Lonchura striata: one gene and its partners. The protein of the gene in region 1 interacts with the protein of each later gene in a biochemical or structural test. Links are inferred from orthologs where the notes say so. Each region holds a gene or a part of one and is shown on either strand. Other genes may lie near its edges. The genes, in order: PLCG1, GAB1, KIT and SH3BP2.

Evidence for each region.
Region 2: the proteins of PLCG1 (region 1) and GAB1 form a complex in vitro, tested with the Homo sapiens proteins (2 studies listed by BioGRID and IntAct, with this or other methods). The link is inferred for Lonchura striata from reciprocal best matches to the Homo sapiens genes PLCG1 and GAB1.
Region 3: the proteins of PLCG1 (region 1) and KIT form a complex in vitro, tested with the Homo sapiens proteins (3 studies listed by BioGRID and IntAct, with this or other methods). The link is inferred for Lonchura striata from reciprocal best matches to the Homo sapiens genes PLCG1 and KIT.
Region 4: the proteins of PLCG1 (region 1) and SH3BP2 form a complex in vitro, tested with the Homo sapiens proteins (2 studies listed by BioGRID, with this or other methods). The link is inferred for Lonchura striata from reciprocal best matches to the Homo sapiens genes PLCG1 and SH3BP2.

Annotation. Positions count from the first base shown.
Region 1 is NC_134619.1:9,747,242-9,755,153, forward strand, and holds the start of PLCG1 (1-phosphatidylinositol 4,5-bisphosphate phosphodiesterase gamma-1), read right to left. Parts: upstream 3,004-7,912; 5' UTR 2,969-3,003; coding exon 2,767-2,968; intron 1-2,766. UniProt on the Homo sapiens protein: Mediates the production of the second messenger molecules diacylglycerol (DAG) and inositol 1,4,5-trisphosphate (IP3). Plays an important role in the regulation of intracellular signaling cascades.
Region 2 is NC_134606.1:64,919,128-64,926,248, forward strand, and holds the start of GAB1 (GRB2-associated-binding protein 1), read right to left. Parts: upstream 3,013-7,121; 5' UTR 2,758-3,012; coding exon 2,686-2,757; intron 1-2,685. UniProt on the Homo sapiens protein: Adapter protein that plays a role in intracellular signaling cascades triggered by activated receptor-type kinases. Plays a role in FGFR1 signaling. Probably involved in signaling by the epidermal growth factor receptor (EGFR) and the insulin receptor (INSR).
Region 3 is NC_134606.1:27,108,316-27,116,149, reverse strand, and holds the start of KIT (mast/stem cell growth factor receptor Kit), read right to left. Parts: upstream 3,013-7,834; 5' UTR 2,946-3,012; coding exon 2,867-2,945; intron 1-2,866. UniProt on the Homo sapiens protein: Tyrosine-protein kinase that acts as a cell-surface receptor for the cytokine KITLG/SCF and plays an essential role in the regulation of cell survival and proliferation, hematopoiesis, stem cell maintenance, gametogenesis, mast cell development, migration and function, and in melanogenesis.
Region 4 is NC_134606.1:9,289,301-9,296,866, forward strand, and holds the start of SH3BP2 (SH3 domain-binding protein 2), read left to right. Parts: upstream 1-4,565; 5' UTR 4,566-4,685; coding exon 4,686-4,795; intron 4,796-7,566. UniProt on the Homo sapiens protein: Binds differentially to the SH3 domains of certain proteins of signal transduction pathways. Binds to phosphatidylinositols; linking the hemopoietic tyrosine kinase fes to the cytoplasmic membrane in a phosphorylation dependent mechanism.

The DNA of each region.
Region 1 (7,912 bases):
GGAGCCAGGTCACCCATCCCTCTCTGGGAGAAACACACATCTCCTTTCTGCACAGCCCACAGGAGCAGAGAAAGGAGCACAGATCCTCTGTCGCTGGTGTCCATGGAGACCTCTCCAAGACATGGCCATCCACACAGACATGCCCCAAGCCCAAAACCTCCATATGCAATATACCGTGGATGTTCACCTGTTCTGAAATGGATAAAACCCCAGAATCATTCCTACTTAGACATTTAACATGTATCCAGAGCAGTCTAAAACTCCCTAGTGTTCTCCAGCGCTCAAAAACCACAAGAACATCCATTGCTGACCCATGGACACAGCAATCTTTGATCTGTAAGTCCCCAGACACCATTTGGAGGAGATGCTGTTCCATGGGAAGGAACACCTCATCCCCTGACAGCTGGCTACTCTCCTCATAGTGCAAGCTGAGGCCAAACCAGAACCACCACAAAAAGTAAAACCCAGTGTCCCTACCAGCCCCAGTCTACTGCTCCCTGTGCTGGCATGGCTTCTTTTCATGGGGAGAACTGGATCAGTCATTGCCCATACCCTGCACTGAAAGCGATGAGCTCAACTCCAGATTATTCCCCCTCTGGTTCTCTGGTTCCCACCATGGCCATGGCAATGTTGACCTCAAGGGGATGAGCCAGGAGGGGAATACCTTGAAGTGGAGCTGTCACACACCCAGCATTTCCCAGGCATCCTCTTTCTGCCCAGAAAGCACATCCAGATAAAAACAGGGAAGCTGGCCAAGAACCTGGTACTGCTGGCCATCGATCCCATGGCTTTGCCTTGCCTGCCTAGAAACCCAGGCACTACTTGTGTACACAGGTTGGTATTTCCAGCTGGAGCCCCACAGTTCTGTCCAGGAAGTGTTAAAGCAAAGCTCTGCTCCTCAGCCCTGCAAGCTCAGGGTGCTGGGTGACACCAGAGGAGGGGACTGAGGGCAGGGTGAGCTGCTCTGGTGAGAGAGGATGCCATGGGGAAAGCATCTGGCATCAGAGAGATGAGGCTGAAGATACAGCAGCTCTTCAGCCTGATGTCCTCTGTGTCCAGCAAGGCCCACCTGGCCACTTGGGAGGGTCACACATAGTGTGAGATCACCACGAGCACAGGGAGGCACACATGGGGAGCCCAGAGACCAAAACCACCAGCCAGACACCTTGCCTGTGGCACAGTAGAGAGGCCCCAAGGAATTTTTCTTTGTGACATTAAAAGAAACAGTCATCTCGGTCCCTGGGACACTCTCTTTGCTTTCACTGCTCTTGGATGTCTGCACAGCACAAGGATTCCTTGCAGCTGTGGCTTTATCATTGTCAGGCCCACAACTCTGGTACAGAAACTGAAGTTCTCCAGATTTCCCCAAAAGGTTACAGGGACACACCCAGGTCTGTCCCCAGGAACAACCACCCATGCAGACACCTCTGTCCCCCATGGGCACACGTGGTCTGTGGGCTCTGCCCAAGACCAGAATCTCCCCAGCAAGACCAATGTTTGTTCTGCCTGAGTTTGAGAACAGCTCAAGCCCAGGGTCAATGAAATGCTGCTCTCACACTGCCTCACTGCTCCCACAGGCCCTTCTGGGAAAGAGATGGGGGAGCTGCACGTCCTCATGATGCTAAAGACTCCCTCCAAATCTGCCTGTAGACCCCACAGGGCGCAAGGTAGAGGACTCAAAGGGTCCCAGGGCAAACCAAAGCCCCAGATTAGCATTTTGTGGACCTGCTACAGAGGTGTGGCCACCATCTCCATGCCCCTTCCTCATCAAAGCCCCTTGTACTAATAGCATCCCAGCTTTCCATCCTGGACCAGCAGCACTTGCCAGGAGAGATGACAACCCCTCCCTGGCCTTGCTGGGCCTCTGCCACATCCCTCAGCATGGGGAAGGCCAGTGCCACAGCCAGTACCAGCTCTCCCACCACTTGGCCTTCGTGCACGTCCCCTCTTCCTCACGTCCCACACAGAGCAGAGCCCCTGTCCTCGTGCTGGTGCACACAGGGGCAGGAAGGATAATTTAAGAAAACCTGGGAAACCAACACCAAGTTTAAGAGTGCAGAGCATGCCAGATCTCACCCCCTTCCCACCTTACGGCCCTGCATAAGAAACCTGGTTTTACACTCAGGTTTCATCCTTTCCTCTGTCCTCCTCGCCCCCATCCAGCACAGGAAGCCGGGGCTCAGCACACCCTGTGCCAGCACCCTCGGGCTGATGCGCAGAGGGCAACGGGGAAGAGGACGGAACTACAGCACAATATTTTGGGTTGGTTTTCCTACTGTTTAACCTTTTCCGTTCGATCTCATCTGTTGCTCCGAGGTGCAACCGCAAAAGGGCTCACACTAGTCCTGCCTCCTTCTGAGGTTCCCTACCGCCCTTAGGTGCTGCTCGCCAAGGCACCACCCGGGAAAACACCGCGTTTATCCCAGGGGAAGTTTGGTGCCGAACAGGGATGCGGAAAGTTGGGAGGCGGCGCTGGGCGGGGGCAGCGGCGGTACCGGCCCGCGCATCCCCCGCGCATCCCCCGCGCATCCCCCGCGCATCCCCCGCGCACAGGGCGGTCGGGGTCGGCCCCACGCTGGGACCCGGACTCCTCTCCGCCCCCCAGGCTGCCCGCGGGGAGATGCCGGGCGCGGAGAGCCTGGAGGTTCATTATTTTTATTTTATTTTATTTTTCCCGTGCCCCTCTCCTCGCCACCGAGCCCCGGCTCCCGGCGGGGCTCCAGCCCCTCGGCCGCCCCTTCCCGCCGGGCTCCGCCGCGCACTCACCGGCCCCCTCCACCTTCTCGGAGCCGCGGCTCCAGGTGACCTGCCGCGTCTCCAGCTTCACCTGGAAAGTTTTCCGCTCGGGTCGCTGCGACTTTTTGGAGTAGAAGAGGGTCATGACGGTGCCCATCTCCAAGCTGCGGCACAGCTGCGCCGCCTCCGCCTCGCTGGGCGCCCCGGGGCCGGCGCCCGGCCCGGCCGCCATCGGCGCGGCGAACAAAGGGGAGCGGGAGCGCCCGAGCCCCGCCGCGCCCCGCGCCGCCGCCGCGGGAGGGAGCGGAGGAGGAGGAGGAGGAGGAGAGAGAGAAGGAGGAGCGAGGAAGGAGGAGGAGGAGGGAGGGGAAGGGGCGGAGCGCTGCCGGCGCGGAGGGCGGGCGCGCAGCGTGCGGGGAGCGCGCAGCCGGTGCTGCGGGGCTCGGAGCATCCCCGCACAGCGCGGCTCCTTCGTGCTGCGGGATGGAGTGCCACAGACCGCCCAGCACGCTGGGAACCGTGCGACCCTCCGCACCATGGGGGACCGGGGGACTCTGCACCCCATGGCACCGGCTCCCCTGCGGGACGGGGGGACTCTGCAGCCCATGAGATGTCTGGGGATCGGAGAATCTGCACCCCATGGCACCCCTGGGGATCGGGGACTGTGCACCCCATGGCACCCCTGGGGATCGGGGACTGTGCACCCCATGGCACACCTAGGGGACCACCCTGCACCCCGCAGGTCCCCCGTGGGCCACACAGCCCACAGGATACCTTAGGGCCGTGGCACCCACAGCAGGGTTTGTGTGGGATCCTGGCATGCCACGTGTGGAGTTCCAGCAGTGCATCCCACGATGGCTTTTCCGGGGGACAGAGCCCTCTGTATGGCTGGCACTGTGGTGTGGCTTCTTGATGAAGCCAGGTCTGCGTTTGCTGGAGTTTCCTCCACACGGATCCCAGCTGGATCCGTGCTGGCATGGAAAACAGGACCGGGCTTGCAGGGTGGCCTGTGGCATCCCACCCCTGGGGGACCTGTAGGGAGCCGGGGGTCACTGGACACTCTCCAGCTGTTCTCTGGCCCCACAAAAAACAGGGGTTAGAGACCACACAAAAGCAGGGTTAGCAAGGGGATAAGTGGTTGAATTGGGAAGCGTTTCAGTGCAGTTTGCTCCATTCATGTGGTTAAAGCCTGTGATTTCCCTTTCTGTGTGCCTCTGACCTTCTTCCCCATGCCCTCCTTTACATTAGGACATCCCATGGCACACGGTGCTCAGGCTTTCCCATTTATATGTATAAATGTATAAATATGGGTTAATGCTTGGACCTGATGATCTTAGAGGACTTTTCCAACTTTATCAATCCCATTATTTTTTTTCTTTTTTCCAAACCTCATGATGCTGTGAATACACACACGTACACACACGTGCCCACAGGCCCATGGCAAGGCAGCCTGTGCTCAGCAGCCCTTATCTCAGCCCCCCAGCTCACAGCTGGGACTGGGAGGGTGTCATCTTCTTAGTGAGGGGCCCATCCCTGAGTGGATTCCACATGTGAGCAGCTCTCTGTGTCCTACTGCTCCACCTGCCTCCACAGGGACATTCCCCAGCACACATGCATCCACACACAGTAGGAGCCCTATAAGGTCGTTTAGGATCCTACCTGGCGTCTGGGCATCAAACAGGCAAGGTGAGAGTCTAAACCTGTCCTGATAGAAGTGAGCAGTGTATGACAGCACTGTAAGGATGCTGGGGATGTGCTGAGCTGAGCCAGAGCTGCTGGAGCCTGGGCTCGGTGCTGGCACAGCACTCCGGGCCTCATTCTCTCCGGGGTGAGCCGCCGTGGGAAGTGGCTCCTGGCTTGTGTAATGGCCTCGCTTGGGACCGGCAGGAAACAGCCGGCTCCCAGTGGTCTTAAAATAGCTGAGCATTGTGGGCACACCCTTGTTTTTGAGGGCAAAACCTGGGAATGGAGTGTGGCCATCGAAGAAGCAGAACAGGTAACTCCCTTGTTCCCAAACACTGCCAGCTCCTGCTGATGGAGAGCACCTGGCAAGGTGTGTCCTCAGCTCGGAGCTCGGGGTGGCTGAGGCCAACACGTGGAGGATGTGGTTTACAATGAGCTGTTTGCAGTGGATATTTTTTATTTTCTAAGTTTGACTGATCATCTTTTAGCCTTGCATTAGCTCTCTGTGTCTAAGATGCTGCATGCCAAGGAATTCCTCTGTTTAATTTGACAGCAGAGGAAATTTGATAGCCCTTGTGTGCCTGCTGTCTGTCAGCCCCATTTGGTGGCCCCAGCTCCTGTACCAGCCAGGCTGTGAACAATCATCCCCACCCCTCAGGGCAGTAAAAACTTCCATTATATTCCTGTTTTGCTTTTGAAGAAATTCTCTGGACTGTGCTCATCATATGGCTGTGGAAGCCTGCGGGTCTTGCAATCTCCCCTTGCCAACGCCTCAGGGAAAAGGGGGATTTTCCCCTCGGAGTGGCCCCAGCACCTCCCCCTTCAGAGTTCCGGAGCACGGGATGCCATCCCCCATATCCTGCAGGATTCGTGGAGCAGCTGCATCCTCCCACCGGGAACAGGCCAATGCCAGGTGACCTCCGGCTTAAGGACAGCCCCAGGCATGCTCAAAGCCCGGGGAACAGAATCCAGGGACACAGCACTGCGAGCCCACCCCACAGGCAGGTGCGGGGGTCCCTGCAGCGCAGCATCCCTCTGCCCAGTGGGTGCCTGATACTCAAGGAAGTGGTGCAGACCCTGGGCGAGATGCCTCTCTCCGGGTTATTTCTTCATTCCTGCCTGCTCTGCGCTGCCCGGGCTGGGTGAAGACAACACCAGCCGAGAGAATCCCCACGGGGGAATTGCTGCCGTGGTGCTGCAGGGAGCAGGGCGCGGAGGGCCCCGGGGGAAGGCGGTGCGGAGCTGCCCGGGCTGGTGCTGTGCCGGGATGCGGGGCAGAGCCGCCCGGGGCTGCGGGGGCTCGCTCTCCGGGAGCCGGGCACAGCCGTGCCCGCAGGCTGCCTCCCCACAGCCCCTGCCCGGCGCTGCAAATTCCCTCTGGGTGACAGCCGGCACCCGGCGAGAAACCCACTGCAGCTCCCGCTCCCTGTCCCCGCACTTCTTTAATATCGAATTCACCCGGTTTCAATTTTCAACCCCGGAATCCTTAAGACTTCAAGGGGGATGGGGCTGCATCCTGCAGGGTTTTGCACCTCCCCTTGGCCACCAGGCCCTGTGCTGCACAAGATCCAGTTCAAAGCTACATTTGTGTCCTCTCCCCCGGTCATGTCACTGCTGCCTCAGTTTCCCTGGCTGCCAAACACAGGCCCGGTTGTGGGGGTGGTGGCACTAGGGCAGGCGAGCACAGGCGCTGCAGCAGAGGGATGCAAGACAGGATGTGGCAGGTTTGTGGCCATTTCTCCGTTTGCACAGTGAGTCAGTGGGGTCTGGGAATTCTCCGTGGGGTGTGTGGTCCTCAGCATGCTGTGCCACAGGCAAAGCCACCGATTAAACCCTCCTCAGCCCCCTGCCCAGGACAGAGCCTGTGCTCCCCAGTGCTGGGAGGGAGCAGGGGGAATTTTCAAGGGTGGGTTTTGCACCAACATCCTTCTCCTTCTTGCTGACCGAGAGGCACAACACGCTCCAGCCTTGGCCATCAGACACAGATCTCCCAGCCTGGCCAGAGAACCCCACCATGCCCAGGTGGATCTGCCAGCAGCAATTCTGGGGTGGGGGACCCCCTCTATGGGAGAACATCCCTTCCCACTGCATTCCCCAATTCCCTGTTCAAGAATACTAGAATTTGTAAGATAGGGGATAACTGGGCCAGGTCAGCAGGCGGGAAGCAGGGCCGTATAAATAGAAATGATATTTTTACAGGCTGCATTGTTCAGCCACGGGCAGGCTGGGAGCACAATGAGCCCCTTTCCCTCTCCACTGGCATTTTCACCGCTGCACCTTGGAAAGGCCCCAGAGAGCAAACTCCTGCCAGACTCCGAGCTTGTGCAGCCACAACAAAGTGCCTGCGGATCGCAGCGAGCAGCAGGAAGCAGCTCAGGGCTGGCTGCCCAGAGCCTGGCCCCACAGCCACCCTCGGGGGTCTGGGAGCCCACCCCAGCTCTGGGATCACGGGGAGGTGCTTGCAGAGGAGCCAGGGCTCTGCCTGCTCCACAATCCCCAAGGACACCAGGCCAGGGCTGCTCCCAGCACCAGGGGGGAGAATGCATCCATCAGCCTCATCACCCGAGTCCTTGCCCAGCCTCCCGCCCTTCCCAGGCACGGAGGGGAAGGAGGTGCCCTCCCTCCATCCTGCTCTGTGCAGAGGGCTGGGGCTGAATAAAAGGCAGCAGAGAAACCAGGCGGAGCAGCTCTGGGCTCACTGCATCCCCCTGCTCCTGCTCTCTGCTGTCCTGGGCAGGGCTTCCCCCAGGGCAAAGCAAACTGCGAGCTGTGCCTGCGTGGAAAGCCAGGGTGGGCACCACGGAGGGGGCAGCACAATCACAGCAAGGCAGGGATGGGCACATCCTTCAGGGAATTCCTGCTGGGGCTGGGAACAGGAACTGCATCCCACCATCATCACCAGCCCAGCGACCACGGGGGCCTCACATCCAGGGCTGGAGGTGAAAGAACACAGAGACACCGACACTCAGTTAAGTTGTAGGAATTTATTTTAAATAACCTACACTTGATTAAAAGGGAATTCATGATAAAAATAGAAGATACTTGTTGAGGAAAGGCTGCAGGAAATGGTCTTGCACACACACTACGCTAACGATGCCTCTAAGACTAATGATTATAGCAAAAAAAGGTTTCACATTAAAATTCTGCTTTTTAATTTTTAAAATTTTTTTACACAATTACAAAAGAAAAAAATAAAAGCCCTAAAATCTTGATTATTTTCCTTTTTGGACCAATGCTCATTTCCCTCGAAATTTATTGACCTGTGAAACTTCTTTTTACACAATAAAATCTTTCAAGTAAAAGAGGGGAGTGGGGCTTAGAAAAAAAGGGGGAGGGAAAAGGTAAAACAGTCTGACAAACCTAAAAAGTAGATAATTCTTGGAAGTGTACAGAGCATGTTCAGAACAAAGGGTGATGGGAATGTCATTTGTTTCCAATTTCACTTGTCCTCAAATTCCACACACATCTTTCCCTCACACGGCCCCCTCCCCCC
Region 2 (7,121 bases), on another chromosome or scaffold:
ACAGCACTAAAAGTTACTTGTACTTTCCTCAGAGATGTGCTGCTGGAAACAACCAGTCTATTACCTCCAACTGTTCTGAACAGCAGCTCCAGGGAACTGACAGCAGGTGCCAATGGCTGTCAGAACATTAATTCCGTAACAAAACCACATGAACAAGGCATGAGAACAGAACTCCTAAGAGAAGAAACAGACATTCATGGCATTAAGGCATACACTCAAGGAAATCTGGAATACCACCTGCAGGACAGGGCTGGTTGGAGGGTTTTTACTTTTTTAGCCTCGAAATGAGTATAAGCTAGCTTTAATACCTCATCCAACAGTTTCAAACTAAAAATCAAAGTCCCTGTGAAAGCTATGTCTGTATATTAGCTTCAAAGTGCTCCTTTTCACCCTTTCTAGGAACTAAACCATATTTAAAAACAATATCAGACTTTTTATCTCCATTTCCAGATGGTAACCTGGGTTCGCCCCAACATTTGCATGCAAAACTTAATAGAGCACGAAGTTACAATTTTCCATATATACCTGTGAAAAGTATGCGTTGCAGAAAAGCAGTTTCCTGTTGAAATCACTTTCCCATCTTTTGATCTGGTGCAGCCCCTTGAAATACTACCACCATAAAACATGGCTTTGGAAAAGGCAGCTCTCTGCTGTGCCTTCACTTAAGCATAGAATTACAGGGAGCACAAGCCAACTCTCCAGCCAGTGCACTCAGCTGGAGTTCATTGTCTTAAATACATCAACTTATTGTTTGCTCCAAGACGGCTACCATAACGTCAAGGTCACTTTTAGGTCTTTGAAGGGAGTGTCAGCCTTCAGCCTGCAACAGAGCAGGCACTACAGACAAACAGGAGGAATTTTACTTTAAGCCCTTCTCTAAGTGGTATCTTTCTTTCACACAAGCAGAAAAGAGTCAAAAATAACGTGTAGGATTTAAACTTATGATCTTACGGCCTACAATGCATGCTAATGTTGAACCAAATCACGCTAAGGTAAGCTTGCCGTATTATCATCCTGATAGTCTGCCTACTCAAAAAGCAGATCCCCCTTTCAAATGAAAATTAAGGAATTACCTCTTTAGGACAGGGAACCACTTGACCAGTGCTGTAGTCGGGGTTTTCCCCTCAAAGGTTCTTGTGTAATTCCAGTATAGAAATGGAGCTATAAATACACTGAAAGGGCAGCTACATGGAAAAAAGTTGGCATATTATGAGACTGATTAATGAGATTGATTTAGGAGGGCAAACTCTGTCCATTTACACACAGCACCCTTCACAGGATTTAGAGTTTGAGTGGAAAATTTATTAAAAGTCTTTAAAAACATGAATACTGCTCTTAATTCCTCCACACTGGTGAAGAGGTGTCCTGTGAATACACACACAGACATAGAGAATTGGCCAAAAAAGCAGTCCATTCAGCGGGGAAGCAGAACCCTGCTATGTCTCATCAGGATGTTCTCTTTCCTTTACACAAAGAGGATTTCTGACATTGGGAACCAGAGAATGGGCTACCCCAAATATTGTTTATTAATTTAAATAGGGACTCATTTCACAGATTTCCTGGCATTTAAAAAAACCCGCCCAAAGTCCCTTCAAGAAGAGACTGCTAATCGCTAACAGACAAAAATAACACAGTCACGCTAAGATCTGTATTCACAGATTCTCAAATAAATCTGAAGCTTTAGCTGCTTAAAAAAGATAAACACTGGAGGGCGGAGGGAGGGAATGAAGGCGAAGGAAGAAAAGAGTTTAAAAAAAAGGCCCAGCATTTTGTCCCGATTACACAGATGCCGCGAAACAAGCCGGGTGCCAATGGGAAAGGGCTCAGCCAGCAGCGATGACTCCTGGCATCACCCATCCTTCCTTCCTACGTGACCTGACAGCCTCCCCGGCGGCCCCGCAGCTCCGCTGTGCCCTGTCATGGAATCTGCCCGCTCAGCAAACGCGCTCCATTTTCCCGTCCGCTCCGCCGGAGCCCCTGCGAGCGCAGCCACTACCGAGCAACAGCGGCAACAACTTCGAGAGAGACACGGGCGCTTCTCTCACAACTGCCTCCTCTTTTTTCTTCCCGGTGCGCAGAGCGAGAGCGGAGCTCCCCCCGCCCCAGCCAGACCGCTTCCGAGGCATCCCCGGCTCCAGCCCGGGGTGCAATCCCGCCGGGAGCGGCGCGGAACCGGGGCAGCCCCCGCCCTCCCTGGGATCGGGCACCAGCCCCGGGACGGCAAGTGTTTACATTTAAAAATACATATATACCGAGGTCGGACTCGGAGGGAAGAGGGGGAAAACTCCGCCCTCTCCCGACTCCCTCGGAAAGGCGATAAAAACTGGGCTGAAACATCTGACCGCTCAGCTCTCCTTTTTTAAGGAGAAAAGAAAAGAAAAGAAAAGAAAAGAAAAGAAAAGAAAAGAAAAGAAAAGAAAAGAAAAGAAAAGAAAAGAAAAGAAAAGAAAAGAAAAGGCGCTGGGAAAGCGGCAGGGACGTGGCGTGCAGAAGCCCCGGCTGGAACGGGGAGGCGGAGGGGAGGGCGGCTCGCCCGGGCCCGGCCGGGAGGGACCGCGCGGGGAGGCCGGGCCGGGCCGGCGGGAGCGGGAGGCGAGCGCGGAATTCCGGCGGGAGAGAAGCGGGGCAGGGAGGAAGGGAGGGAGCAAGGGGGAGCGCGGCCCGCGAGTGGGAGAGGGCACTCACGTAGCGTTTCAACTTCTTCTCCGGCGGGGACTTTCGGAGCCAGCCCGAGCAGACCACCTCCCCGCCGCTCATGGCTGCGCCGCTGCCCGCCGGGGCGCTCCCTCCGCCTCCCGCTCCTTCTCTTCCTCGAGCAGCGGGCGCGGGGAGCCCCGATCGGCGGCGGCAGCACCGCGCCCGGCCTGGCCTCCCGGGGCGAGGGGCGGGACGGGGCGCAGGGTGTGTGTGTCTGTCTGTCTCTCTCGCACAACAGCCCGCCGGAGGGGAGCGGGGCGGCGAGCGGGGCTGAGGCGGGAGGGTCCTCCCTGCCTTCTCCTGCTCGCCGCCGCCGAGTTACACGGACATCGAGAGAGACGACAGGGGCGGCCGCCGCCCCGCCGCAACTTCGGCGTCCCGGGGCAGGATCCAGGATCCAGCCACCGCCCCGCGCCGGTGGCGCCTCCCCCGTGCCACCGGGACCCTCCCGCTGGGCAGGGCCGCTGGGGGCTTCGCTCCCTCCCGCCCGCCCCTCCGAGCTCAGCGCCGGCCGCCGCGGCTCCCTGCTCGCTCCTTCTTCCTCCTCCCCCTGCGCCGGGAGGAGGGGATCGGCAGCACGCCTGCCGTCCCTTCCTCGCCTTCCCTTCCGCGGGGAGGGGTCTTGTCCCGAGGCTGGGGCCGTGGCCCGGAGCCGGTCCGCTTCCCTGCCGGCCAGCGGGGGAAGGCTTTTCCCTGGAATTCACGGCGCCGCGTCCCCCCCGAGCCCCCTTTCTCCCGGCGCCGAGCGGCGGTGCCGCCCCGCCTGCCCCCGCCCGGCGCCGCCCCGAGCGCCGCGGCTCCCCCTCGGAATTCCGCCGGAGCCCTTTCAAACAACAAGGGCTGGGAAGCAGGGAGGCAGGCAGGGAGGGACGGCCGGCCGACGCTTCCAGCGGGATCCTGGGAGCTGTAGTCGGCACCCGGCGAGAACTGCGGCGGCGCGGCCGGGAGCGGAGGGGACGCGGCCGAGGGACGGGCTCGGTCCCTGCGGGGAAAACAAATGAAAACACCAAGCAAGCAAAGAAACAAAACCCAACCTAAAGATCCCTATTAAAACTGCATTAAAAATAGCGCGGCCTAAGTAAATTTCTCATAGCAAGTCTGAAACTGCCATAACAAAAAAAGGAAAAAAAAAAAAAAAATCCTTAATTGTCCAGGTCGTTCACCAGCTCTGCTGTGAATGCTCTCTGTCTTTTTCACTCCGTCAGAAAAGGGTTAAATAAGTAATAACAAATACATTAATAAATATAATCAATAAATAATATATTATTAAATAAAGAAAAAATAATAGTACACTTTTAACGAAAATAATTTTTGAACAAATTTTTTTCAGATTACTAAATGGCAGGTTGTGGAATGGGATCGCGGCTTTGTTGTCTAGTCCCAGTGAAGTTTCACTGCAGAGAAATAGTCCCCCTAGTGTGCCTTGGCTGAAGGGAGCCCGATGATGCTACATTTCATCTAGGTATAAGTGTATTTAAAAGTTACAAAGCAGTGGTTGTAGCATATAGGAGCATTCAAAGAAATAACAGGAAAAAATAAAGGAGAAAGGCTGAGGTGTTAAAATCTGTGCATCAATTCCAACATAAATCTTGTCATGATAATTATGACATTATGAAGCATTACTAAGCACTACAAGAAAGATCATAAAATAAGATATTTTGCCAAAAGCATTTGAAATAAGAAAAGATATGAATGTCAGCCTTTAGCAATTTTCAAAGCACATAAATCTGAGCATTCAAACCATCCTTGCATGAATTTCTGCACACCATCATTTCAGCTTCCTCAGCGGGGCTGGTGGAAACAATAAAAAAGTGATTTGGTTAGTAAACATGAACTAAAATTGTACTCTTAGGTTTAGATTACAAACTGGGTTTCAGTGCAAGTTTTTTGTTTAAACCACTAATACCATTGTTTAATAATCTCAACATTTGACATTATTCAAGTGCTAGATAAGACCACAAAATTTTCCAGTATCCTTTGGAACACTGGAGACGATTCAGTATTTAGAACATGTGGAGCCAATGTGAACTAACTAAAAATGCCATTGGCACTGGGGCATTGTGACGTGATCCAATGGTTCATTTGAATCCCATTAATTAACCCATGCTTTGAGGGCAAATCAAAGAAAGCTTGTTTTGGGTTAAGCAGTCTCCATGGAGGCACCAACCAAACAAGTTAGCTGGTCCAGAGACACAAGATTGTCCCTGAGGTCAAATTTCAAAACATTACATTTGTGTTCTAAAACACACAGAAACCAGTGTCAGCCTGGACTCCAGCTTAAGTTTTCATGTATTTGTTTATCAGTTTTGTGAGGGGGTTTAATCCCTGTCATGTATACACTAGGGAAAAAGAGTTAATGTCACAGTGATGAATAGTAAACAACAAAGCTTGCCTTTTAGACTGTACTTAGTTGCTGAGCCTAGTCACAAGCCTCATGACTGGACATAAAATGTTTTTATTGCATTGTGGAATTGAAGAAAACAATACAGCAAAGCACAATTTCTAAATGTTAAGATGTTGTCTCATGGACTGCTCCTTTCCTAGTCATGGCAGTGGATTTTCTTTTCTGCTCTCAGCCATTTGAGCTACGCATCCACAGTCCCACCAATGCCTTCACTTACCATCTCAGGAGAAGGCTGCACAGAGCTGTACCTCTCTTTCCAAGTTAGTGAACAGCTAGAAAATCCAAGAATATTAATTTTGTGGATTTCTGTGCATATCCAGCAGTGTTCCACAGTTCATAATTTAGATAACCTGTATTAGGGTAAACTGAAACAAGGCTAATGAAATACATGAAGAGCACAATATTTAGGTCTGACTCTTAACACCTGCATATTTATAACTGTAAAACTGTCTATGAAGAGAGTGGTGAAATAATTACACAAGTCAGTTCCTCCATGTAGAAAAATTTTTACACTCAGCCAGCTTAGGCTAGGACATAATTTCCTGAATTTAAGGATAAAAGTCACAAGGATTCTGTCGAGAATAACTGAGCTATACTTCTGTCCTGAAAGTTAAAACAATATAAGCATGCCCCATTTTGAAATTCTTCTGCAATACAGCTTGTGCTTGGAAGAACAAAACTCCCTTCAGGGCTTGAAGGACTGTAACCCCACGTCAGGACATGACCACCCTCTCCCCTCACTTTGTTCCCTCAGGTTATTTCTGTGCTGTTCCTTGGGAAGCCTGGAAGATAAAGGTGTTTCAAGCTCAATTATTTGCATTACAGAGATCTTTGGTATTTGAGTGTAGGGCCTTTGAGGAAGAAGAGAGAAGGGAAGAGGATTTTTTTCTTGGAGGAAAGGTTATTTTGCCTGTTTTTAACAAGGATGTTGCAATGACAGCTGTTGGTTTTGAAGAAGAGGATGTGGCCAGCAGAGCAGCTCGAGGAGGAAGCTCTGGAGGTATCCATCCTCTCTTCTTACAGTGCCAAATCCTGCTACAGGATTGGGAATGTTAGGAATGTTGCCATTCCTGGATCCCACATTGCCATCTGAAACAGTCCCTGTGCTGTGACTGGACATTGTGACCAAGCTGCAGCACACACAATGCTCAATAAAGTGCACTTTAACCAGCGAGGTGATGCCATGGTCATATGGAATGTGACGACTACACACATGTGGTCACGGTGCTGGTGCTGCCTCCCAGCTCAGGAAGCATGTGCAAGATGCCTTGACTCCTCCACTGACCTTGTGTTCTTCCACAAGTGCGTTCCAAAGTGTTTAAATGGGTTCTTCAAAATTCTGGAGTAGACTATTTATATATCTTGCCAGATAAAGTAGGTCATGTGGAAATCCATTTGTCTCTGGTTTGCTTGCCAAGTTGCCTTGATGAAGGAAGCAGGAGCTGATAGAAGAGGAGATTAAATACATATGGGCTTGCTTTCAAAATATAAATTATGTTAATTTCTCATGCAAATAGCTTAAGAATTCTGGACTTGCATAATAAGATGGTGCTCACTACAGCACTATCTTTGTGTTATACTTCTAGTATGATAACCTATGCATTCCCCTGTGGTTTCACCTTGCAGTCACAAACAGCTGCTCCTGATAGTGATCCCTAAACTCCTCTATGCCTCCTGCTTACATTTGAACACAAAATTTGTACTTTGACAAAAAAAGAACCAAAGGTCTAATTAAAAAGTATAAATTAGTTTAACAAAAAATTTTGCATGTCAGTCTATATCCTAAAACATGTTTAGGTGTTTATGTAAAAATGAATCAGTGAAGAAAAAGAATTAATCTTTTAAGTTTGCAAAATTCTGCATTTATATATTTCTTTTCATCTCAAATACTTCCATTTTGATTTCAAAATTATTCCCAGGTAAATTTAATCTATGTAGTTATTTTGGTCACTTTGCAGATGACATTTACTGTTTCTTTCAGAATGTAGTTATTTAGATTATTTGGCAAGCACATTGAGGA
Region 3 (7,834 bases), on another chromosome or scaffold:
GAAAACCCACAGAGAGCCAATACAACCCCACAGTACCACAGCTGCAGTCATCTGTTGACAAGAGGCTCTCTCTGGCAAAATAAGCACGTGGAAATGCCTTCAGTCTCTATGAATGCTATTTAAACAGGATGTAAATGGCAGTCTCACTTCTTGCCAAATTTGTCACATTCTTTATTATAAAGCCCGAACAAAAATCACTCAGGCACTTGCAGGGAAAAGGTTCCCAGTGGCGGTGCAAGGAAAAAGAGTTGAATATTGAGCAGTTTTTGACATTTCCATTCTGCTCCTGGCAGTGGCCTTAGGCTACATTTCTGCACAGGGGACTCTGCACTGCCACAGGGGAGGGAGGAAAAGTACAGAGAGCAGAGATAGAAATGAAATGGGAGTAGGGAGGGCAGGATACTCAGATGGCTTGAGGGGGGTCAAGGCAGTGACTGAATGACAGCAATCAAAATTCTCATCAAATTCAATCTTCGTCCTTCAAGCTTCCTCCCTCATGGCTGATAGGTAACAGGGAGCATCATGAAAACAGACATTCTTCCCTCTGGGCACAGGGAGAGTCTGCTATTACTCTGCAGCTGATTGGGGGGGAAAAAAAAAGGTTGCATTGATGGATGGATGCTGAAAGGAACCATGTCCAGTCTTCCATGACCACAGGATGGAAATGCAAGGCACTCTCACAGAGTACTGGATGGTAGGGGACAAAGCAAGCCTTGAGGGAGGACAGGAGAAGAAGAGAGAAAAGACTGTTCCGGAATATTGCATCAAAATGAGGACAAGGCAAGTCCCAAATGGAAGGAAGTATGGAAGCATGTCAGTTTGCAAGAAAAACAAAAATTAGGAAGGGACTGTGGACAGAAAAGATGAATGGTTTACCCTTTGAGAAGCTACATTAAGCTGTTTTCTACATCCTCCTTCCCAGTTTGCAACCAAAGGAAGACGCGCTTGACCAACAGCCAAAAAAAGATACTTATTATAAACCTGTATGCTGATAAACAGGATAGGTCTGAACAGGGAGATCATCTCAGCCAAGCATCTACACTGAGGCAAAACCAAAAGCAGCACAGGAACTAGCTCTGGAGCAATCCAGAACAGCACATCAGCTCTGTCCTATCACTTCTGATGTTCCTATGCTGCTGCCAGGACTCTAACCATCACACCGATACCTCTCCCAGCACCACAAAACCAGCCCAGAATACTCCTACATCTATGTGATGCACAGATGATGCACATACATACCCAAGGACAGCTGTCTTTTGCAGTAGCAAGTTATTTCTTACAACATGGTGTGGTTTTGTTCACACAAGTTTTTGTCTGATGTGTCCCTGAAGTCTCCCACAAGTAAGTGTATAAACCCAGAACGAGATGGAGGATCATGAGAAAGGTTCCTCCTTGCTTCCTCAGTACTCCAGAAATTGCACCTCTGTCTTCCAGGACACGCTGCCAGTGTGATCTGTTTCCCAAGCCTTCTTTAAGGACAGTCTAACTATATGATGAAGGGTAACCTTGAAGTGAAGGCAAGAAATTCATGAAGTAAAGAAAGTTGGCAGGTATCAATCATGTCAACATCTTAAAAAATTCTTTCTAGTAATAACTCATTGGTAGGAGACTTTTAGGAGACTTTTACACTCCTGTGGCCACAGCATTTTGCAGCCTTATGTGGGTACTTCTAAATAGGAAAGCCCAAGTTGCCAGATACCACATTTACTCGGATTACCAATAAACCAACGGCAGCAAACAGAAAAAGTTACCTAAACAAAATCATTAAGGCATCCTAAACGGTTTTACAATGAAGTGTAAATTGTCACTACTGTTGGCTTCTGGTGTTTTAGAGGTGTCTGCTCCCATGGGCAGAGGCTGGCGGAACCCTCCCCGTCTGTGTCACACAGGGTGCTCTGCAAGGCTCCTCTCTGGTGGTGGCAGCAAACCTTAAACACCTATCGCTGTGCATCGCTTCTCTGGATCCTCAGCTCGTTCTGAGGTAAGCAGCGAAAGAACCTTTCACGTTATCTCCTTTCAGACTTCAGTGCCCAATGCTAAATTCCTCCCCAGGTCTAGCAGCGACCTCCTTCCAGCACCTTCCCCTGGACACAGCCAAACGCCTCCTAAGCCTACAAACCATGAAAGGAGATGCACGGCGGCTCTGAAAGCCATGTGTGAAGTTGCCCAGCTCTGCAGCCAGATGCAGTATTTAAAACCGTTAGACCTGTGCTCCAGGGCTATGAGGTCAAGCAAATAAACTCCCTTTTTAGAAAAGACTGGAAAGGAACCTACCCACCAAAGTTTTTGCACCAGCTGATTCCCCAAAGGCCTGAAAGGCACCCATTGCCCTCTTCACCGCAAAGGTCCGTCAGCGCCGCAACAGACCAGCCCTGATGCCCGGTCCCGCGGCGAGCCCTGCTCCGGGGCACCTGCCCGCCGGCGGCCGCAGAGGGCACCGAGCCCACCTGCCCCACCGGGGAGGCTGCACACCGCTGCTCAGCGCTGGACACCTGACGCCGGCCGCTCGTTCCTGCCCATTGTTCAACAAGCACTTAACCGCGGGGACATTTCGTACCGATCCCCGGATAGTTTATTGTCAAAACAGCCGGGCCGGGGAGGCGGAGGGGGGTGGAGGGGTTCCCTGCAGGTCTCTCCCCCAGCCCCGGATAGCCGCGCACGGCAAACAAAGGACTTTATTTCCCCCGGCGGGGCGTCCCACAAGGGCAGCGCGGGGCGATGCCGGGCACACCGCTGGCTGCCGGCCGACCCCCGGCGCGGCGCTGCCCCGCGGAGGGGGCCGCCAGCGCTGAAGTTTTCCCTGCCGCCGCCCGTGCAAACCCCGGCCCCGCGGGGCTCCGCGCCCGCCCGCGCCCGCGGCTCCCACCTGCGGGTAAGAGGCTCAGCAGAAGCAGCAGCAGCAGCGCGGTGTGCGCCAGCTCCCGGGCGAGGATCGCGCCCTCCATCCCGGCGCGGCTGCCGCTCGCACGGCCCGGCGCGGAGATGCCCGAGCCCCCGCGGGAGGGAGCGGAGTAGAGCCGGCCCCGCCCCGCCCCGCGCCGCGCCGCGCCCCCGCCCCGCCGCCGCGGGGATGGGCGCAGGTGAGGAGCTCCTCCGCCCCCGGGAGCCTCCTCTGGGCTCACCTAAAGCCCCTAAACAGAATGGTTTAAGGAAAAAGGACCGAGCCCAGTGGCTGAATGGGCGCTCAGTGCTGTCGTGAGGGAGAGCTCGCCCTCCTCACGGGCGGCATTCTGCCACGCCGAGCGCCCGAGGGATCGGGGCCGCGGGGCTGCGTAAACCCAAGTGGAACGTGGACCGGAGAAAGGTGGGGGGAGCGGCCGGGCCGGGCACGGGAGCTGGAAAGGGAGAGAGCATCCCTTAAAGGGCAGGTACAAAGCCGTTTGCCTAGCTTTGAAATCCTCACTGATCGCCCCTGGAGCTGTTAACGACTGGCTGGTTCTGGAGGCGCCAAAGGTATCGCCTCCGCCCTGGCTCGCACTGCTGACATCCACCCAGCCCGCTGTGGGCCACCACCTATTGAGGGCCAGAGCACCTCGAGTGAGACTTAAAAGTATGTGCTGTGGCACAAAGCGAAGACTTGAAAGAAGTGGCTGGTTTGGTATGGAAACGAGAAAACTGACAGGGAGCTTAAACGTGGAAAGGGTCCTTAAGAAAAGGATTGTGAGTGATTGTTTTTAATGTTTCTCAAGGGCAAGAAAAAAAGTTATCCATTTAATTCTCAGGAAAAAAAAAATCGCTTAAATGTAAGGAAGGCGATTGCAAAGAGCAAGAGGATTTAGACTACAAATGCATTGCAAAAAGGGGTTGTGGAATCCCACAGAGGGAGTTTTTTAAGCACCGATGAGACCACTGACGAGGATCTGGGAGCACTCACTTCTGTAACTGCAGAATTGGAGTGGAGCTGCTCTGCAGGCAGAAATAACACAAACTACACAAATTCTTAGCTTTAACACTGTTTTAGCAGTCAGTGTCACACACTGTTGAGGTGGAAGAAAGGTATAGAGGTGACCCAGGCAAAGGAGCCATGCATGCATTCACCAGCCATGCTCTGCCCAAGGTATCCACAGGCAGCACCTTAACAGGCAGGTGGGCAAAGGACACAGACTGTCAGAAAATCCATAACAACACTTCTGGATGTACAGAAAGATGTAGAGGACATATGGCAAAACTTTCACCACTGGAAAAGCATAAATGTAGACTTCTTGAAATGTGTCAGTACAGATCAGAAAAATTATTGAAGGTAAATATTCCTTTTTTTTCCCTTCATCTTCCTTTCTTTTTCACTCCTGTCAGATTTTTTCCCAAGGTTAATAGCACTGTCCCACATGGTCCAGCATGAGATGAAAGTCTTGTCTTGCATGTTTAAAACGGCTCTCTCCATTTCTTTACTCTCTTTCATCTCTGACAGCCAGTCTCTTTTGATAGGTGAATCCTTCCTCTGCTGCAAAACAGAATACTTTTTGTTAGCACACCAACAATTTCAAAATCAAATAACATCTTAAAATCCTATTTCTTACTATGTGCTAACCTCATCAAATTAACCTTAGGGAGGAAAAAATTACTGAAATACTTAATTTATTAGTGTCGTTTCCCTCACACCCCCCCCCCCCCCCCCCATTTTCCAGGTGTCTCTGGATTTTGTTTCTGTAGGAGAAAAAAAGTGAGCCTGAATTTTTAAATGTAAACATTTGGAACGCTTAATTTCTTAAAGATGCAAAGGTAGGGCACTATACTGTAAGAGGTTTTCACTAAAGCATTATCAAGGAACATGTGATGTTGTTATTGTGGCAGGTTTTTCCCTGTTCTCCTTGATTAGTGCTCCTTCAGTTAGTGGCCTGCCTTTAGGTCCTGCACATCCCTGATCACATGAATCTGAACTCCGCATGGCTCTGCATCATATGCCTCATTTTCACAAACATTAGCTCAATGTTACATCTCAAAATCAAAGTGGCAACAGTATTCTCCACGTGCTTTGACTGACTATAAATAGCAACAGTAAGTGGGAAACAAAGGTGAATTGCTTTTAACCTTGCCCCTTCATTTATTTTAAATAATTAAAATGATAAATGCAGTTGCCCTTTTCAGTGTATTGCACTGAATGCTGTAAGTTTTGTTGTCTATATCCTGTTTGCATTATAGAAGCAAAAGAAAGTTTTTTAAGCAGTGGAGGGTTCTCTTAGGTCTTTTTCCTACCTTTGTCTGAAATATGTGAGCATAAACCAGAAAGGTTCTTCTTTGACTTTGCAGCCAGCCTCACGTGTTTCTCTCTTCAGTTGTCACTGTGGTACTATGGCAGTGAGTTAGGACAGGTAGTGCCATCTCTCCTCATCATCTGCTGGAGACAACTTGCAGTAGGTTGACATTTGGGAGAGTGTGGAATGAAGAGAGAGACAAGAGAGATCTGCAGCCTTTGGACACAATACACATTTGGAGATAAGAGCGATAAGCTTGGAGAAATATGTGAAATTATATTTGAAAAGTTCACTTCCCTTTGAAAGCTTGAAAGTGATTTAAAATTTGTGGATGAACTCCTTTGAAAAGTCAATTCAAAATATTGCTTTTAGATATCCATGGGAATGCTTGCTGAAGTAAACACTGAATAGGTCAATAATATTGGTAAGATTAAGCTAATGTCAACAAAATACTGCTGCTCTAATGAAGGGTTTGTCATTTCTGTATCTGAATGGAAATGCATTTAGAAATGAGCAAGTTTGATGGTTTAAAACAATTTATTTGTCAGAGCTATGAAAACCTTTTTTACAGCATTAATAATCTTAGACTCTTTTTATCTATGACAAAATGTATCTGTTGAGAAGAGAGGAATTACTCTTCTGATACAGCCAATCAATGTGGCTAGAATCCTTCCTGATTGCCCACAATAACAACTTTTTCTATAAGGTTGTAGTTTCCTTTTTCTAAATTGCAGATTGACAGACTTTAGGCTGGAACATGGCTCTTTCATATAAGCTGGCAGCCCCAGCAAACCAGACAGCTCCAGAATTAACTCCTCTGTGATTCCTGAAGGCTTTGAGAAATTACACAAGTTTGAAACACATATTGATTTACCAGTGTTGCAGTAAAACCTATCTAATCACAGGCATAAAAGTTTGTTAAGCTTTTAAAAAGTAAAAAGTGGTTAAATTTCTGCCTTGTGCATTCATCTAAAGCATCATTTCTGAAGAGTGAGTTAGGAATGTCATATGACCACTGTGCAAAAATATATACTCAGCACTCTGCAGTATCTTGATCCAAATTGACTAAACTGTAGCTGTGAATTTTCTCCACCTTCTGTTTTATTAATATTAAAAAAAAATAGAAAAGTGTGTGAAGTCTGCTGGTCTAAACTGTTGGTACAAGAAGGTATAATCCAGCTGGACCTGTTTTCTAGAAACTGAGATTTTGGGACATCCCATTTCATTTTTTTTATTAATCTCTCGTCTTCTGCTCTCCACGCTGACATGTTAGGGTGGGTAAGTGGAGAAAACTGATAGCATTTGATAGGCACATGTCTTAAGACTTCATCTGTAGATGGCAGGATTATAATGTCTTCAGCCAGTGTAATTGATGAAATGTCTGTTATTTTTAGAGGGATGACACTAAAATAAATTCAGAAGAAGTGGACACCTTTATCTCATTCCCCCTGGAATAAGAATCTTCAAACTGAATCCGTTCAGTATTACTAAAGTGAGAGGTGTAGCTTATTCCCTTTTAATCCAATTGTGGAGAATACTCAGTAAATCCCATTGTGACTGTGATCTTAAACCAGCATTGCCATCCTAGTTAATTAAAAATTTTTCCAGCATTGAATGTCAATGAGAGCCTAGATATAGTCGTAATTGAAGCTTGAAATATATGCTGTTTTTGAAGACATCTTGTATTATCACACACATAGCACACTATTGTAAACACTGTTTTATCAGTCTAAGCTTAAGTGGAATATAAAGGCTCTAATCTTCTTGATAGTATTTTTTTGTTAGTTTATAGCCTGCAATCTTACTAAGAAAAGAGATTTGTCTTTGTGAACTGCCAAGTGTAGTTCTTGCCTTTATCACTTGCAGCTTTATTTGCACAGGCCACTGTTGAAAATTGACTCAGTGCAGGTCAATTCAAGTGTTGTTTTGTCTTACTTGATTTTGTTGCTGGATTGTCATTGGGTTTTTTTTCCATGAGTTGAGCTCATGAAAATAATTGTGGAGAAACAGCTGATGTGGCTTCCTCAAATGCATTCTCCTTTCCCAGCTTGCTGCCCTACCCATTCTTCCCTGGCCTTCACATATACAGCAGCTTTGGGCTGCAGACCCAGAGAGCCTTGTCTTTGCCCTCTCTGCCTGCTCCCCACAGGATATTAATGCCTTACTTGCTGAAACCATATCCAGGCTCTGAACCTTGTGACAAGAACTAACTTTGCTTAGCAGTTTATAAAGAGTCCTTCTGTGTTTTCTTACAGTGCTTTGCCATATCTGCAATATAAATAAATGGCTAGAGTGAGGCTTGTCAGGCATTTTTCTCTGAGGTGATTAAAGCCATATGAGATCCAGTTGACTGCTTCAACATATTTGCTAAATTGCACTATTTTTCTTATAAATCTGGGGATCAAATGAGAAGAGAACTAAAACAAAAGCAAAGGAACTGCCTTGATTGAGATAATATATGTCAAAAGCATGATGTGGAGAAGAAGGTATTTCTCATCCCTATATTCCCTGAGTAGATGAACTTAAAAACTTGGATTTTTATCATGTCTTGTTTGTCACCTTGCCTCTCAAAGTATCTTTCTTTAACATATTTTAATTTAGCATTCTTTAAGTGTATTGTAAATCGCTTGGCTCCTTTTTAG
Region 4 (7,566 bases), on another chromosome or scaffold:
ATATTTCTGCCAAGGAAATAAATCTTTTGTGGAAACTCCCACTTTCAGTATCTATGTGTATTTGGGGAAACTCCCTTTGCAGCTGTCTTCAGGAGTAGGATCTTGGCAATCATATTTGTACTTCTGCTAGTTACATAATTTTTTAACCTATGTTCTATTTTAAATTGTTCTACAAGCAGTGATGAGAGCAGTTAATCACAGCCATAGACATTTACAGTCTTTTGTATGAGGACTTTGTATATAAATAACAGTTAAAATGAACAAAGAAGATTCATTTATTTTCAATAGTAAAAGGAAATGGAGTGTTGGTAATGTATCTGAATTTATATAAAAAAAATTTGCTGCCTTTTGATTCATCTTCAGGACTTGCCTTCTACTTTAGGTGTTGTTTATACCAAATGTTACTGGTGTGATCTGACTGGCACAGACTTGACCCAGTTAACTCCCTGGGGTTTTGAGGGGCCTTTTGATTTAGTAGAAATCTGTTAAACTTGAAAAGCTACACATAACAATTTTGCCCACATTGAAAATTATGCTGAAACAGCTGTACTGGTCTTAATTCATAGAACCATTTAGGGTGGAGAAGACCTCTGAGATCACTGAGTCTTGAATTTCAATCTAGCACCAACGCCTGCTCACCACTAAACCATGTCCCCAAGTGCCACATCCACATTCTTTAAACACCTCCAGAGATGGTGACTCCACCACTTCTCTGGGCAGCCCATTCCAATGCTTGACAACCCTTTCTGTGAAGAATTGATTTCCAAATATTCAACCTAAATCTCCCCTGGCACAAGCTGGCGCTGTTTCCTCCCATCCTGTTCCTTGGTACCTGAGAGACTGATCCTCACCTGGCTACAACCTCCTGAAAGGGAACTGGAGGCAGTGAGAAGGTCTCCCTGAGCCTCCTTTTCTCCAGGCTAAACACCCCCAGCTGCTCCTCACAGGTGCCCCAGACCCTTCCCCAGCCCCGTTGCCCTTCTCTGGACACAATCCAGCCCCCCATTGTTTTTTTGGGAGTGAGGAGCCCTACAAGACATTAATATGAAGTCTTGAATTATTTTTCAAGGCTGGCTGGTATAAGTGAATCTAAGTTCTTATATTGAGAGTTTACAGATGGTTCTTGTCTTCCAGCTGCTCAATCTAATTTACTTTTTTAGAAGCTATGCATGAACTGCCAGTACTTTGTAGCTGTACTTTGAGCAATATATGACATTAACTGTATCCCAAAATCAAAATCATGTCATCATCTTCTAGGATGTGTGCCAAACTGCTTGATGAGACAGTCATGAAAAGTTACAACTTTGTTTTAAAATTGAAATGCTCATTCTCTGAGATATGGCTTATTTATTGCAGACCAGTACTGGCCGGCATTTTTTGAAGTTCCAAGCCAACAATATGTCTATAGATGTTTAGAACCTAAGAGCCACTAGGGTATAAGTAGAAACTTGGAAGCTTTCTGACTTTAAGTATTTTTTGGGTTTTGATTGAATTTATATTATGAGGACTTCAGTTGCCTATTTTAAGTATATGTAACAAATAAGTAAATATATTATCAGGACTTCTTCATGTCTTCTGAAGTAAGCTGAAGGAAAGGATGATGGTTAAAATTTAAAGTATAGGAGTTCTTTTGACAGTGAAAGAGGATTTCTGTAAGTTGTGGCCTCATTTCCTTGTTGCTGGTTTATCTTTTAATTTTTTTATAAAGATAACAATGCAGTTCACCCAGCAGAAGTAATTCTGATGGATGGTTATTTGTATTTTACAAGGTTGCCTTACTTAATAGATGAAGGATTCAGGCAAGTAATTTACACTTGCTCTTTTACAATCTGCAGCTGTGAATCATGCAGCTGACAAATACATTATCTCCCAATATAATGGCTGTGTTTCCACTATCATCTAGAAGCTTGAGACTAAACTAGTTTGGTAGAATTAATAAAATACTAACATTTCTAATAATCTACTCCTGACTCAAATTTAGGACACATTCTGTTCATCCCTTTTTGATGCTTTATTATACTGTGGACTTCCATGGAAATATATAATGTATGAAACCTTACATTATTCTGAGTAGAACTTAACTTCTGAGCTGACAGAAAGTGTTTTTCATGCTATTTTATTTTTTTTAGCGCTTTGTTGATTTTTCTGCCTTGCCTGTTGCTGTGCTCTTCTTGTGCTGTTTTTATTTGCAGTCCATTCTTACAGTTTCCTGTAAATTTGTCAGCAAGAGGAAGTGCTCCCACTGCAGACATAGCTCAGCCCTACGGTGAGACAAGTGAATTTATACCAGCAAGGACAGTGTTCTGCCACATGTGTTTGTGCCCTCACATCCCATTAACTAATGATTGGTAGGATTGCTTTGGACTGCCAGCAAGAACTGTTCCTGACAATGGCAGGGAAGACTGGCTGACTTCCTCAGGCAGCAGCCCTGCTGGAATGAAATCCAAGTCTTGGTTTCAGATGCTTTGGTTCTTCCTTTTAAGTCTGAGTGATACTTTATAACTTAGAAAGAAATGGAGTATCTCTTTTGGAGTGAAATTCTTTCTAGGCCAGCTTGATGCAAGGCTGCTTCTCACCACTGATTTCATGGGGACAATGAAGATTAATCTGAAAACCTTATACCAAAGGTCTATGCCTAATAGAATTTTGCTTTGGGAAGGAGGTTCTATTTAATACTCTTTCACTTCCCTGGCGGACATGTCAATCAAATCCATAAAGTTTTCATGTTTTTTTCAGATTCCTTATTTGCAATTTTGAAATACAATCCTTATGGTGAATGTTTGGTCTAGAAAGCTAAACTGAATTTGCAGTCTCCCAAAACTGTGAAACATCTAAACTTTGGTTGTTCCTTGGTGGAACACCTGTTGTGTGTGTGTGTGTGAAGTGTCTTCTGTTCTGACTCTGGGACCATCTTGATAGTGTTGGAAATCACCAGAGAAGTCAAAATGGGATCTTCGAACTTGAAATGAAAAATTCTGCTTCATTTCTGAGTACTAAAATTAGGAAAGAGAGAGAGTACAGCATGAGAAAGGTGAGAGGGGAAAAGCAGTACCTCAGGAACATGTGTTGGATGAAGAGGCATGGTTTAATGAGAATGTTGAGGCCAAAGAGTGTGGTAGTAGAAGTCGTGGAGTTTGGAGGGGAAAACCAGGAGTTAGGTGTGTCATATCAGAAAAGGGAAAGAGGAACTGAAGTATTTTTTCCAGTATTGCATATACTCAAGTGCTGTCATTCTAAATCTATTTTTTTTTTTACTAAATTGGAGAAACAGCTTGCAAAGATGCTAATGCAGACTCAGAAGAGTATACTTAGATAAAAGAGAACTCAGGGAGGAAAGATAGATTTAGAGCAGTGGGCCTTAAATGAGTAACGGATACTGTAACAAATAAAGCAAGTGAATTAATTCACAAAGCACTGAGATTAGTCCTCTGTAATTACTTTCTGTGTGAAAAATCTGTCAAGCCACTGAGACAACTGGGTATTGATCCTTATTGCAGAGCACTGGGATCTTTTGTTCTGATATGCAGATCCTTTTGGCTAACAGCAGGTGTGTGGTATTTATGGTTCAGTTTCCCTTCCTATAGAGCCTGGCAATGGAAGGAGTGCAAATGGGTGCCCTATGGTGGGAGAGCTGGTTTTTCTAGCCCATACAGCCGTGAGCAGTTTCTGAAATGTTACTTTCTTTTGTGCTTTGACTGTTGGGTCATTTACAAAAAGAGATGTTGTATGGAGACTTCTTCCTTCTATTTTGGGATACAGATTTATGGCTATTTCCTCCAAAATATGTGAAGTAAGCTTTTCTTGACATACTTATAGATGTTTTGACCATAATTCAGAAACTTGCTAGTTGATTTTGTCGTGCTCAAACTTTTGAGCCTGGAATGTTGTTTCAATCTAGACAAGTTAGTGAAACACTTGAATCCTTTTAAGAACGCCAGATGAAAGTAATTGTAAATCAATTACATTTATTCATTATCGGTTGGCGATACTTGTGAGCAATTGTGCACTGTCAACCTCTTGAATTTGAATTTTATTGCCTTTTGTGGTTTGTGTACCATCAACCATACCGGCCAGACTTGTTCTAAAGCATATTCATGCTGCAGAATTTTTCAGGATGGCTGTTTTGATTGTCTTGGGTTGAAGAGGGAAGGAGAAGCTCCAGCTGTGGGGAAGAAAACAGGTTAAATACTTACAGTTCTGTGGTGCAGTGCAAGTAGCTGAGGCACAGGCTCTTCAGGAGCACGGGCAGCATTTCTGAGCCGTGTCTCTGCCAGAGTGGGAGCTCCAGCACACTGGGAGAAAAAAGGACGACTTTCTTCTTCTCCCATAGGAAAGTGATTGATTGAAAGGTGCGTAGGAAGAAAGTGAGCACTGGAAAATCCCCTCTGCTTTCTAGCACGATGTCTGCCGGGCGTTGGAGCTGTGCGGGAATTGATTTATAACCTGTCTGGGAAGCTGGGAGATCTGACAGAGATAGCGCTGCCCGCAGCCAGTGGGGGGAACAGGAAGTAACAAAGGAAACAAGTCATTGCCTGGCGTCACTTTTGGCCACAGTGCACTGCAGATGCACAAGCAGCTGGGGCAGGCTTTCTTCTCCTTTTGTGTGTTGAGCAGACGGCAGCTGCAGCTGTGGCTTTCAACCTGGGAGTACCCAAACGCGGGAGAGGTGCAGGGATGTTCCTGCCATGCCTGAGAGGGGTCATAAGTTGTTAATGGCTTTGTCATCACAAAGGAAACAATCATTCGCTGAAACTGTCTGCAGAAGAACTATGTGTCGGTCGGACAAGGTCACCAGGTTAGTGCTTCTTGTGGCTTGTGTTTGTCATCTTTTCTCCTTCAGGTCGAGAGCAGACTGCAGCTAAGAGTGGGACATGGTATCTGAGCTAAAATACTTGAACTCCTGCAGAAAATTCAATGATAAAGGATTGGAGTGGGAAGAGATGAGTTGGGTGTTGGTTGAAAACTTGTCAGAAAAGAAAAGCAAGTTGAAGCAAGTTAAAGAGAGTGAATTTAGTTATACGCCGTATCTCAGTTGGGCTTATTTCTCTGTTCCCTTTGTCTTGTAAGATCTTGTTTTTACTTCAGTGTTTGTACTGTGCTATTAATCTTTCTGAGAGAGTATTGTGAAAGGGGCTGTTAGAGGTATTAAGAAATGGAATGTGTAACCAGAAAAAGTAGGTGAGATATAGAAGAGTATTTTAGAAGTACTGGAGAATAGTTAATAAATTTACAAGAGCAAATTTACAATCTGATAATTCTGCAGAAAGCAGTATTAAGAACAGATGGTACATGTTTAGATGATTGAAACAGAAATTATTCTAACTGAGAATTGCTGAGAGCGTGTAGGGGAAACTTTTCCTGTTCTGCACTGTGTAATGCTGCCTCATTTTTGGTAAAGCCTGATACTTCAGTCTCCCTCTGCATAATTTAGCTATGTTTTGCTTCCACTAAAAATTTAAGGACTAGAGGTTATGAGATTACAGTTGTAAAAGTTCTCAGTAATTGGCATAGAGAGCGTTGTTACAAATTCAGGCTGGTTTTTTGTTTTTTCCAGCATGACCAAACAGGGCCAGATCATAAATATTATTGTAATATGTGATAACTTTTAAAACAACTATTGGCAGCTGTAATCTCAGAAGAGGGTAATATTTTTTTTGCCTATATACTGCAAGATGTGGAGATAATCACATCTGCCATATATTCTGCTGAAGTTAAGCAAGATCTGAGGACTTTTCCAGGATGCAATCCTTAATTGAATCAACTTGTATTTGCTCTAATTGGGCTGAACTCCAATAACTCTTAAGGCCAAGAGGGATAAGTGTTCTTCTACAATGTAATCCAGATTTTTCATGTGGCAGAATTTTACTTTTACTCGTGGAGGGCCTTTCAGCCTGTAAAGTTATACCCTAGCCTTCCTTCTAGCTATTCTCTATCTATTGAGCGAGCAGTTAGATTAAAATTGCCTCACAGATATAGATCTTTACCTGCTACACAATAACAGAAGTCTGCTATCCATTCAGAGTTTGAACTTGGTGGCAGTACTATGTTTCAGTACTATGTTTCACTTCTGTATCTGACTGGCCCTATCCTGGTTACGAGATGAAGTGTGTGAATTCACTTTTTTTCCTGCTGTTTAACTTTCAGGGTACTTTGAAATAAAAGCTGGCTCATTGTGATAGTGTTTGAGAAAAGTATGCTGATGTGATAGACTTGGGGTGACTTTGATACATTAGCAATACACTGCAAATTGTTTTAGTTTTCAGTCTGGTAGACCAGTTTGTATATAAGAAGCAGTTACAATAATGATTATAAAAGCTCTGTATCATGCTCCAGGGTGCTGATTGCACCGTTCTGTCTTTCCAAAAGCACTCTTGAATGATGAAGCACATCCTAGAAACTGCTGTTCTACTATTTCTCCTGCTACACTGCAAGGCCTTTCATCTCCCGCATAGGCATATAATTGTCACAGGGATCACCTGAGAAACAGTGATGCAAGACCTTTCCGTGACTGCTGCGGTCCTCTTCTTGTTCAGAGGGTTCCATTCAGTGGGGGAGAAAATTAATTCAGTAGCCACATGCAGTGGGTTTGGGACTTGGTGGAAAAACTGGTTAAAAATATGTATCTAATTCCTTGGTGAGTGGGAAGAGGAATAAAGTGTGTATCTATTACTAGAAGCTTTCACCAAATAATGCATGGGATGTTGCCCTCTGTTTGTGACGGAGAACCAGTGTCAGGAGGAGCTTTGGCTGCACTGGGAGCCCTTTCTGTTAACTTGGGTTTCAGCCCTGTGGAAGAGTCTCTCTGATGCACCAGAGGTGAAAATGTGTGATGGGGGCTTTGTCTCGTAGTGTAAGAATGTAACTGCATAAAAAACAACTGGGAAATATCCCTCTGTTCCCAGTAATGCCAAAATTATCAGGCTCTGCAGTGACTTCAGCAGCTGCTATGATGTGTACATGGTAATGCAACATCCATCTGTTGATGTAGTCTGTTAGAGAAGTTACAACAAGAGTTGAAGGAACCATTCAGTGAGCAAAAAGCAACCATACTATAGATGCTAAGACCACAAAAATCTTTGGGCTTCCATTTTTTTTTTCCTTCTCTCCCCCCGCTACAATAAAGATTCTGAAGTTAGATTTGTGTTGACAGCTTTCTCCCAGCAGTGTGATGCAAAACAGCAACATCTGTCCTTACAGAGCTGTTTTCTGCAGTCAAGAAAAGAAAAATCTGACTGGGACCAGAGTCAAAGTACTGAAATGCATTTTAGCAGCATAACTGGAAGATTTCATCTCATAATACTGAAGTCTTCCCTAAGTGTCTGCTATGTGCCTGCAAATGAAAATGCTTGAGGAGTGTACAGATATGATGGGGAGTGTTATAAGCCACACTTAAATCCAGATAATAGGCTTAGCTTCCTCTAAATCTGTTGAAAATCCTGGTGCATTGGGTGGGCTCTTTAGTTCATGTATTGTGTACTTGGTGGCATGGATTTCAGCTGTGTCTCCTTTTACTCACTTCTTTTATTCTCTTAGCTGGCCTGGGGAAGTTCCACATTTTGGTCTCTA